3 linked regions of the Caenorhabditis elegans genome follow. The protein of the gene in region 2 interacts with the protein of the main gene of each other region in a pairwise test. Each region holds a gene or a part of one and is shown on either strand. Other genes may lie near its edges. The genes, in order: mab-5, F21A9.2 and elt-2.

Region 1 (3,757 bases), on a different chromosome or scaffold from region 2:
AGACTAATTATGTGGGGTGTTGATGGGCACGAGAATTAGGCGGAACCCACTGAACCAATATTCGGGATGATTTTGTGGGTAAGAATTTGTTTTATTTGTGAGAGCTGGGAGAATTTGAATGCTACTGCTCCTTTAGAAACAATATGTTTTATGGAAGAAAGTGTGTGTGAAAAAAAGTTGAAAGTGGTAACGAAGGTTTTAAAATTATATTTATGTACTCAAATCACAAATGACTCATTAAACGGTCGGAGTTAAGTTGTTATTTGATTTTCACTCTTTTTTGCATATTTTAATTATTTCTTTTGATTTTTCTATTAACTAGGTACATCTTCGGTAGATGGGTGCACAAATTTTTTAACTTTAATTTTTTCATTTCATGAAATTTTAATTTTCCGATAATTTTCCCATCTCCTCTTTTCACGACTAATCAATTTTTCAGATAGTGAAGGGCTATTATTATTCAACAGATACGTTTTTTAACGTTTTAATATTTTATCGGTTCTAGAAATTTTGATCCTTTTCATTTGATTCTTTTGATTACTTTGTTTCAAGAGTTCCAAATACATTGAACATACAAATGTCATTTTCTAACCTTTCTAATTTTCTGCAAGACTTCAATTTTTTCAAGTTCGGGACTTGAATAATACAGATATAGCATTTTGTTTTAAATTGTAGATTTAAATATATAATATCAAACAAATTTTTTAAAAAACCATATTAATTTTGAAAAAATGACAACTTCTAATCGAATTATTTTTTTAATTTATACTTTTGCTTAATTTCGTAAAATTTTTATTTTCATTCGAAAATTAAATGCCAGAACTCATTATTTGAATCATATTTTCCAATTTTCACAAATCTACAATAAGATGTCATCTCTGTAGGATAAGCCCTCTCAAATGCCATTGTAAATGACATCTAAACCAAATGCTAAATAGAAGCTCTTGACTTGGAATCTTAATAACTAAAATATTATGATTTCTACCATAAAATGCTACTCATCATTGCCTTCCCAGTCTTTTCATGCTCCTCCCAATTTCTCCGATTGGTTTCCCCATTTCCCGTCAACGCCCGGAGACTCCGCCCATTCACACGTTGTTCGCATCGACCAGTCGGCCGCCGGGGGGCCCCACCAATATTTCATCAGGCGCCCTCAACATATTTCAATTCTCCGATTGATTTCTCTTCTTTATATTCGAATATATATCTTAATTAATGCGTCAATGCCCCGTTTATTGGTTTTTAGTTACGGGACTCATTGGATACTTTATAATATTAGGTTCCAAAGAGAAACTGGAAGAGAGAGAGAAGGGCTTAATGTAATGGCATTAAAGATTGATAATGTGACAAATGATAAATTGATACGGTAATATGTAATGGACATTAGTCACTAAAAGATATTTATAGACCAAACCTCATGATTATCAAATAATGAGGAGTACTGTAGGGGTTTTGGAATGCTTATTTGGTTTAATGGAAGTCATTATTACCATTTTTATTGATAAACTTCTAGAGTGAAGGTAAAACAAAATAAATTTCATTAGACAATTTATTTCACTTTAAATATGCTCGATATTTCTTATCAAATGTCTAGCTTTAGAAATAAACATTTTATTTACTTGTAATTGTTTTTATTTTTAGTATTACTGACTTTGTCGAATATGTTGCTTTTAGAAAAAAACGTAATGTTAAAACATTCTGTATAGAAAATATTTCATAATATCAGAAATAGTTTAAATTGCAACTTTTGGTATTAAATAGTTATAGAATAAACGCTTTTAAATTGATCATTTGATAACTTTAAAACAATATTAATCAGTTGTTCACCATATATTATTTTTAACAGTTTTAAAAACTTGCCTTCTACAGCTTAATGTGTCATAATTAATTTTCATATTATTGTGCTTATTGATTTGAAAAATTATCTTATTTAGTGTTCACTGAGATGGGCTTTATACTTATGACGTTGAAACAAACCTGATATATTATTTCCTCAATTATTCAAGTTGTATTCTATATGGCACCATTTTTTCCTCCATCTTGCTCTCATTGCTCTTTCCATGCTCCTTCCGTGCTCCCTACTTTTTCTCTATCTTCCCATATTCTCACCCCTCAATTACCATTTCAATTTCAGAAATCCGCACCTTTTTGCCGTCTTCCATCACGCATCTACTCATCCCCTCAACTCAATCCGTCGGCAAATGAGCATGTATCCTGGATGGACAGGCGACGATTCGTACTGGGCGGGCGCCGGCACAACGGCTTCTTCTCAATCCGCATCATCCGGCACATCTGCTTCAGCATCGTCTAGTGCTGCCGCTGCTGCTGCTGCCAATAATTTGAAAGTGTGTGTTTCAGAGTTTAAATGAAAAATTTTAGGTTTTAGTTGAAATAAGTTCAAATATTTTGGGTCGAAAATTAATTACGGAAAATATGGGGAAAACCCTACAAAAATGAATTTCAATTTTTAAAATACTCTATAGTTTTCAAATTTTCCAGATTAAAAAATTAATAAAAAATTCATTTAAAAATATCAAGAAATATTCACCCTTGTTTTGAAAAACTTTGAAAGTATTTCGCAACGTCCCATTACTAAACTTCAAACTATTTTCAGACCTACGAACTCTACAATCACACCTACATGAACAATATGAAACATATGCTTGCTGCCGGTTGGATGGATAATTCATCAAATCCGTAAGTTTCTTGAAATAAAATTTTTGGAGCGAGAAAAAAATGTTGCGAAATAAAACAAAGTTTGCTGTAAAATTTTAAGATTTTTGCTAAGCGTTCCAGGTTTCACAACTTCCTTTTTAACATTGATTCAAAGAAAAATCAACAAGAAAATTTAAATTTCAGTTTTTGAAAGAAGTTCTCAGTCCGGTTTCCAAAAAATCAATAGTTTCATTGCAACAAAAACATTGAGTTCGTTTTTTTAAAATATGTCTTTCGGAAATGTTTAAAAGATTTCGGATTTCTTTAAAAAAATATGTTCACTCCAATTTTATTTACAAGCACTCTCTAATGCATTTGAATTTCAACATGAATATTTTATCTTTAATATTTTTCCATAATAAAAAAAAAGCAATTTTCGATCATCAAGCCTATAGCCATTTTCAAATGAAAACTCAATTGTTGTAAATTTCTCACAGGTTTTTCATTATCTTATTTTAATTAATGATTGAAGTTTTGAATAAGGGAACTTTGGCAGGATGCGTGCAGAAGAGCAACAAGGCAGGCAAAGGTCGCCTTGAAGACAGGAACAAAAACATATTAAAATGATGAATAAGAGTATTTGGAAATTCGAAATATTTTTTTTCCATATTCAAATAAGCGAATTAACTTACCACAAAATTTAGGATCCAACTTAAAATATTTTCAGATTCGCCTATAACCCACTTCAAGCAACATCTGCAAATTTTGGTGAAACTAGAACTTCAATGCCAGCAATCTCGCAACCAGTATTTCCATGGATGAAGATGGGCGGTTAGTTTACAGTTTCTCATTTTCACTTTTAAACTCGTATTTCCATTTTCACTATTTGATCTCATAAAAATGTCAAAACAAGACAAACATATGGGTCATTCTTCTACATTTTAATGTAATTTCGGATTGGTTGTTACTCGGTAATGACCGCCAAATAGGTGTGAAGATAGACATGCGCGCAAGAGGGGAGGTCCTAGAGAGAGGGGCACACTTTTTCGATTCTTATCTTCAGACTTTCATGGCGGTATAATATTAAAGAGAAAAAGAAGGA
Region 2 (3,757 bases):
AATCTTTCCTAACTTACGATTTTTAAGAAAAACCCAAAAAATAGTAGGAATTCGGTGAAAAGATGCATTGTAGAACCCTCTCTGAACAATCCTTCTGTCCCGTTTCCGGTTACCTCATATTTTATAGTTTTATCACCGCTTTTCCTTTTTCCTACATTTCCTGAACCTTTTTTTGCTTTTCAGTGCCTCCTGCCACGTCATACATCTGCAATCAGCTGATGTTTTGCAATCAATCGGTGTCGTTTAGTTTTTTTAGTTGAAACTGATAAGAAACCCTATCAGCACATACTCCACTGATTCAATTCAACTGATATGATAATATCACACAGGCTCACTTTCTTTTTCCTCTTCCTCACATTTTCATCAGTAATAATACATTTTTATCACTTTTTTGAGTTTTAATTCGAAAAAAACCGGTGGCACTTTTGAATTTTTGACATTGCCACGTGGCGGCTTTTAGAGAGAACTGTGAGAATACATACTTTCAGTATTTTATTTTTTATAGTATGCACTATCCTGATTTTTCGTGAGTTTTTTTCTGAGAAAAAATTGGCACATGTTTTTGCGTTTCGGAAACTGTCGATAACTTGAATTTTGCATGAAAACCTTGATGGCCGAGATTTTCTCTCTCTCTCTCTCTCTCTCTCTCTCTCTTGGTCATGCAGTAAAACCGTCATGATTATTGTGCGGCCGCGGAAATGAAAGAAAAAACTCGGCCGCCGATTTGCTGCTACACGATCGTGCACGAACATCTTTTGAACTCTGCTTTGGGGTTTTTTCTCTTTCATTTAAAATAATTCCAATTGATATTATATTGATAAAAAAATAAACGCGTATTTAAGCGGAATGGCCTCGCTACGCGCAACCCATTGATTGAAAAAAAAAAACATTAATGAGTAACGCGTGGTGAGACCATTTCGCATAAATACGTGCGCCTTTGAAACCGTAGAAGAAGAAAATAAAGTTCGCTGTATAGCTATAGCGTGTATATAAGTGAATTGCACGGATAGGGCGCGAGAAGGGCGAAGAGAGAGAGAGAGAGAGAGAGAGAGAGAGAGAGAGAGAGAGGCGCCCCCGTCACGCCTCAACCTAGTGAAATGTCTACAGTCGACAACTGGGAACATCCCTACATGTATAGTTAAACTGAATCACAGATGATAAGAGATTGTGGTAACTGATTAAAGATAAAAATTGGGGTAGATAATGATCAGTAAGGAAGACGGCGATAATTGAGATATTCGGTAGGCAAAAGTCAATGTTATAATATTACTTTACTATATAGAGCTTTTAATTTTGAATCAGCCATCTATGAAAATATTCTAGAAACATCTATGTACCTTTAAACTGTTGAAGTGTAAGCACATTTAATACGCAAAAAAATAATTACCGTAGCTCAAATTATGCACTAAGGTAAAAGGCTTCAATCTGACAGTACTTTGGAGATTCTCATAAATAATTAATTTCAAAAACAAAGCAATATTCAGAAGTTTAAAACATTAGATTTTCTCTATTAAAATTTCATATTTTGCTCTTAAAGCACCTGCCAACTCAATGCATCACATTTCACGCGCAATGTTCACTACTCAACTTTTCCTCTCAAATCTCTACTAATCTAATATTCATTCCAACCGGAGATTCAATCTATTTCAGTTGTTCAGTCACTTCATCTGCTCTTCCCAATCTTCCTTTTGTCTTCTTCTTCTTCACCTTATCATCAAAATCTGTGTGACTCGGAGTGCCGGAGCACGCACAACTTGCTCTGCGCCCCGCGTTGTCCCTGAGATCTTATCGCTCACTCGAGCCCATCTTTCTTCGTCGGAAGCCTCTTCTTTCGTTTTCTCATTCGGCCACTTCATTTATATACAATGGATGTAAACCAATCGATTCTGCATAATACAATAGCTAGCGTGAGTTACAGTAGATTTTTTGATTTTTGCTTCAAACCCGGTCTCGACACTACAAATTTTTGTGAAATGCAAAAAGGTGTGCTCTTCTAATAAGTAATGTTATCTTGCACCTTTTTCTGACAACTTGTTGAAATTTGATTTGTTCTTATTTTTATTATCGGTTTTCTTATGAAAGGTGAAATTACAGTACAGTAAACTCAAAAGAATTAAGCGTTGCGAGACCCAAAACGCTACATTTGACAAACAAAAATATTGATTAATGAATAGGGAAATGATGATAAATATAAATTCAAAATTACAAAAATAACGCAAAAAAAATTAGAAAATTAAATTTACACATCGCGTAAAACTTTTTTTGTTGAATATTGAGGACTGAATTATCATCAAAAGTTTGCAGTCAATACGAAAACAAGTTATGACCGCACCAATCGAGTTTAGATGTGGCGATTGTGTTGGACCGTATTCTGTGAGCGGCAATGGACAACTGTTGAGGATTACTGTAAGTTAAAGCATATACTGTAAGTTATAGAAGTTGGCGCAATATCTGTAGATCAAAACTGGATTCTGACTACCGGTGGGTTCTCAAATTTGCGCGTAACTTTTGGCGCATTGAATTCTTCTGATTCGACAGACACAATACACCATATTCCCCGCACAAATGCACCGTAGAACCTCCTTAATTTCCAGCTCTCCAACTTCACCGGTGAATCGATGGGTTTCGAGATGGAATCGAATCCAGTGACGCGGAGAATTCAAGCAGCCCAAGGTCCACTTCTAGCTAATTGTGTCATTATGCAGACAGGTATGCGAGCCACACGACATGGCCTAGAAATTGAAAACTAGGCCACCCAAACGGATATTTTTGCACTCAAAGACAATTCATGTCCTGCCTAGCTTTCACTAATTAGTCCACCAAACGACTTTTTTGAAATTTCAACTTCACCTAGGCCAATGTTTCAGGTCCCGTGTTCACAATTCTTTTCACAAAAAATCTGACGACCGTGGAGCCACTTCGAGCCATTCTTGTCGCTGATATGAACTATCGTCTGGAGCAAGAAAAGTTGGAGAAAAGTGAGCTTTTTTGCTTTTCGAAAAGAACTGCATTTCGAAATTTCAGAACACGAATGTCCACACTGTCACGTGGCAAAATTCAACTCCCTTCACAATTTGAAAGTTCATGAAGATTTGTACTGTAGTAAGAAGAAACTCGGAAATGTAGTTGAAAATGCGGATTCTCGAAAACAACAAAATGTTATTTTGTTGCCAATGGCGTTTCATGACCTCTTTCAGCAGAATCCCTTTCAGGTAACTCAGTTTGAAAGCTAGTTGTTAATTTCAATTGAACTTTTAGGTAGTGGGTCCTGTTACTATTGGACGAAATTCGGCATTAATCAACTCAAATCCTTTGCTCATTCATAACAAGAGAAAATTGGAAATGCCAAACTTTTCAACTTCGAAACTCTCCGTGCAGATTCCTATTATCAATTTGGATGAGAAGTTGGTTTTTTCTTTTGCAACACAGTCTTATTATGCAAGCGCGCTCCACAGATAATTAAAAACGCTCCGCCCCGAAATGTGGGGTCCTGCACGTGGTGTCAAACAGTCTCATTGCACTTTGATCTACAAAAAATGCGGGAATTTTTTTCCGGAAAAAATGTGACGTCAGCATGCTCTTAATCATGCAAAATCAGATGAGATGTCTGCGTCTCTCCTCCCGCCATTTTTTGAAGATCAAAGCGAAATGGGACTTTCTGACTCCATGTGGTCCTGGTAGGAATTGACGGCAAAATCCAAACGTTTTCAACCATTTTTCGACTTTTTTGCTGTTTTTCATGATATGTATTCATGTC
Region 3 (3,757 bases), on a different chromosome or scaffold from region 2:
GGAATATAATGACCAAATGTTAAATGTGTTAAGGTTTGATATCAAAACCTGTATTTTCTTTTTATACAGAATTGATAATGTTATCTTCAATTGATTTCTACTTCTGAGCTACGGCGATACGAGGACGCATTCTCAACGATAATGTTGCCATTTTGTCCTGATAATTTTTTTACTGATTGTTTCAGAACACCCATAGTTTTTCTCTATTAAACGTTCATCCTTGACTTCCCCGAGTTTGCTGGCTGAATAGGAAATTTGAAGACAAAAAGGAAAGAATCGGCTCAAACGTCATGCAACTGATAAGGCGACCGTACTTCATTTCAAAAGAAGCTCACTTACTGAGCGCAAACATTGAGAAATGAGAGCAAAAGAAGTGGTTTTACAACATGCTAATGTTTTTAGACCTTGTACCCAATAATATTACTGTAGTATACAGTTCGGAGAGCATATGGTTGAAATCTTGAAATACCAATTTATCACTAGTTTGATTGTGTTATCGATGTATAAAGATATATTTTATCATTTTTGATTATTATCTGATATTGTGGGGTGTGAAGTAATATTATGTGCGTGTGTGGCTGATTATCGAAAAAAACTGAAAATTATCAATTTTTCTACAGGTTATCTTTTTTTGTTTTATTTTTCATTATTGTATTCTTCATACTCCTTATCCTGCCCGAATCACAAAAGTTCCAGACAACTTGAAGGTCGCATCACGTTTTGTTTATAAGAATGTTGAACTGGTCAGCTTTGGAGACAGAACTGTCCTCCAAATGTTGAATATGTTTCCGTAAAACACACTGTGTAACAAAAAGCGTACCCTTTGATCCGGTATTCTTGAAAAAAAACATAGAAGGGCGTACTTTTCATATCTCACAAATATGCGTTTTTTATTTTATAATAATATCATTTATTGATAATTATATGTATTTGTATGTTTTCTTGTCTTTAAAATTATGGTGTGACATCACAGTTTAAAAATTATATGAAAACTAATGAGTGAAAAGTTAAAAATGTATAGTTTGCCGTATTTTCTCCATTAGTATTGTATTCAAAACTTATTTCCAATTGGTGAGCACTATAAACTTTGTAGGGTAATTGAGGTTCAATACTAATTTTTGAATATCTAGCTTTTGACAAATTATTCAAGTTTTGACAATGATGCCTTATCAAATTAAAAAAAATTACCATAAATTCTTGAAAGCTTTTGATTTTGTTTCACTCTGTGAAGGATAGTAATTTATCAACATTTTAACTAGATACATCTGTTCTGGCAATAAATTAAAGCAAGACTATTACTATGTGCAGTATTAATAGCTGCATTGCAACTTGTTTGAAAGTTTCAGTGAAAACGCAAAAACTCAATTTAATTTTCAAGTTTGTTTGCAAAATTGGATATATGTATCCATCAAAAGTCTGATCGCCTGTTTTATCTACTTATTGTCTCCTCAGTTGATTTTTTTGTAGTTATTATAAACGCTACTTTGAAACCAATATTTTCTTCCTCATTCCACTTTTTTCAATTACCAACTACCGTACATGCAATGATGGGCGGACCCGAGTCCCATGTTTGGCTGGAAGTGGGTGGTTGTCTGCGTATATGAGCGACAGAGGTCGGGGCTGAAACTGATAAGAATAGTCGACACTAACGCCATAATCGCTAGCCAGCCATCATGCACACCGAGCTCGGTGTGCACACCATCTTTCTTTTCAAACCAATACGCTTTGTGCCTTCATTGACAATTTTCTTTTTGATAAAATCAGCCTATCTATACTTCCCAATCATTTTTAGTCTTATCGTTGAACAGCTATCGAGGTGCCACTGTTTTCACTGATATCTTCTAAGTTACTATGGCATTAACATCTTTGTGTTCTTATTTTATGGGTTATTTTAATTAATTTTTGCAGTTAATTTTTGGAATGAGCAAGAAAATGTTAATTGTAATATCTTCGTCTGAAAATTGTCTTCAAATAGTTTTAATTTTAAAGGCAGTATTTAAGAAAATACACTTCTCGAAGCATTTTTGAATTTTTGAATTTTTAAACTGCTTGATGTTTTAGGTGCCACTGTTTTCATTGATAAGTTTTGATGTATAAATGCTTGATTTTCTTGGCATTCTAATAAAATAGAAACTAGAAAATAGATTATAGAATGGATAATAACTACAATGATAATGTCAACGGCTGGGCCGAAATGGAACCATCTCAACCAATGGGAGGTCTGCGCCTACCAACTCAGAACATGGATCCACCAGAGCAAAATAATGAGTCACAATTGAGTGAACTACCGAGAAGTAAACAAAACACTGAAATGCTTGTGGATTATAAAATTATAAAATTTCAGTGAAAATTGATAATGATTACGCATCTCCAATTGAACGGCAAAGTGTTATCACAAGTGGCACAAATAACTATGAGCCGAAAGTGGAAACTGTTACATCATGTAAGTGTGAATTCAAGTTATTTGGATTAATTCTTCCTTTTAGTTTTCCATACTGGCATAGACTACTCAAACTTTGGAATGTTGGACCAAACTACCATGCAACCGTTTTATCCTCTTTACAGTGGAATTCCCGTAAACACTCTTGGAACTTTTTCGGGATATACAAACTCGTAAGTCATGTTTTCAAGTTCTTACTTTCATATTCAAACTTTAGCATATACGACAAACCCTCTCTGTACGACCCCAGTATTCCTACCATTAACATCCCTTCTACTTATCCAACTGTGGCTCCAACTTACGAATGCGTCAAATGCTCACAAAGTTGTGGGGCCGGGATGAAGGCAGTAAACGGAGGGTAAGCTAGAAAAATTTCGATGACTCAATAAACTACCGGATTAATATGTGCCTGTACACTGTTTGGAAATAAACTACAACGAATAATTTTCTAGAATGATGTGCGTCAACTGTTCAACACCAAAAACCACGTATTCTCCTCCAGTCGCGTATAGCACTTCTTTGGGACAACCCCCGATTCTGGAAATACCTTCAGAGCAGCCAACTGCTAAAATTGCCAAGCAATCCTCTAAAAAGTCAAGTAGCTCAAATAGGGGGTCAAACGTAAGTTAAAGTTCGTTTGCAACAGTGTACAACAAATCAATACAGGGATCTGCGTCCCGTCGGCAGGGACTTGTGTGCTCCAATTGCAATGGTACCAACACAACTCTCTGGAGAAGAAATGCTGAAGGAGATCCGGTCTGCAAGTGAGTTTTTTTTTTTTTTTTTTTTTTCTAATGGTTTGTTTTTCAGTGCTTGCGGGCTTTACTTCAAACTCCATCACATCCCTCGGCCGACCTCAATGAAGAAAGAAGGTGCTTTACAGACAAGAAAGAGAAAATCAAAAAGCGGAGACTCTTCCACACCATCAACGTCACGGGCCCGAGAAAGGAAGTTTGAGAGAGCCTCTTCTTCGACCGAAAAGGCTCAAAGGTCATCTAACCGGCGTGCGGGAAGTGCAAAAGCAGACCGAGAACTGAGCACTGCTGCCGTCGCAGCTGCGACTGCCACATATGTGTCACATGCCGACTTGTATCCCGTTTCCTCAGCTGCCGTCACCTTGCCAGATCAAACGTACAGTAATTACTATCAATGGAACACTGCCGCTACAGCTGGGTTGATGATGGGTACGTGATCAACTTTTATAAAATGAAAACTACTAACCTTGAAATAGTACTTAAAGTATGGTATTAATGGTGGATAGCGTTAATTACAACAAAAACATAACTTCATAATATTGCATTCAAGCCCTCTAAGATA

The links.
Region 1: the proteins of F21A9.2 (region 2) and mab-5 interact in a two-hybrid assay, tested with the Caenorhabditis elegans proteins (one large-scale study listed by BioGRID).
Region 3: the proteins of F21A9.2 (region 2) and elt-2 interact in a two-hybrid assay, tested with the Caenorhabditis elegans proteins (one large-scale study listed by BioGRID).

What each region holds. Positions count from the first base shown.
Region 1 is NC_003281.10:7,781,833-7,785,589, reverse strand, and holds the start of mab-5 (Homeobox protein mab-5), read left to right. Parts: upstream 1-2,135; 5' UTR 2,136-2,201; coding exon 2,202-2,345; intron 2,346-2,614; coding exon 2,615-2,697; intron 2,698-3,382; coding exon 3,383-3,486; intron 3,487-3,757. UniProt on the Caenorhabditis elegans protein: Transcription factor that binds to the promoter region of the transcription factor lin-39 to repress its expression in Q neuroblasts and thereby direct left Q neuroblast (QL) daughter cell migration.
Region 2 is NC_003279.8:3,707,329-3,711,085, reverse strand, and holds the start of F21A9.2 (C2H2-type domain-containing protein), read left to right. Parts: upstream 1-1,650; 5' UTR 1,651-1,865; coding exon 1,866-1,907; intron 1,908-2,304; coding exon 2,305-2,406; intron 2,407-2,594; coding exon 2,595-2,709; intron 2,710-2,867; coding exon 2,868-2,978; intron 2,979-3,024; coding exon 3,025-3,212; intron 3,213-3,258; coding exon 3,259-3,404; intron 3,405-3,757. Other genes in the region: F21A9.1 (PRELI/MSF1 domain-containing protein), read right to left, coding at 18-68.
Region 3 is NC_003284.9:10,479,089-10,482,845, forward strand, and holds the start of elt-2 (Transcription factor elt-2), read left to right. Parts: upstream 1-2,151; 5' UTR 2,152-2,152; coding exon 2,153-2,294; intron 2,295-2,344; coding exon 2,345-2,443; intron 2,444-2,486; coding exon 2,487-2,613; intron 2,614-2,657; coding exon 2,658-2,798; intron 2,799-2,892; coding exon 2,893-3,061; intron 3,062-3,106; coding exon 3,107-3,204; intron 3,205-3,250; coding exon 3,251-3,624; intron 3,625-3,757. UniProt on the Caenorhabditis elegans protein: Transcriptional activator that binds to the consensus sequence 5'-[AT]GATA[AG]-3'. Predominantly directs the transcription of intestinal genes such as ges-1, cpr-6, pho-1, ftn-1, vit-2 and lev-11, and itself.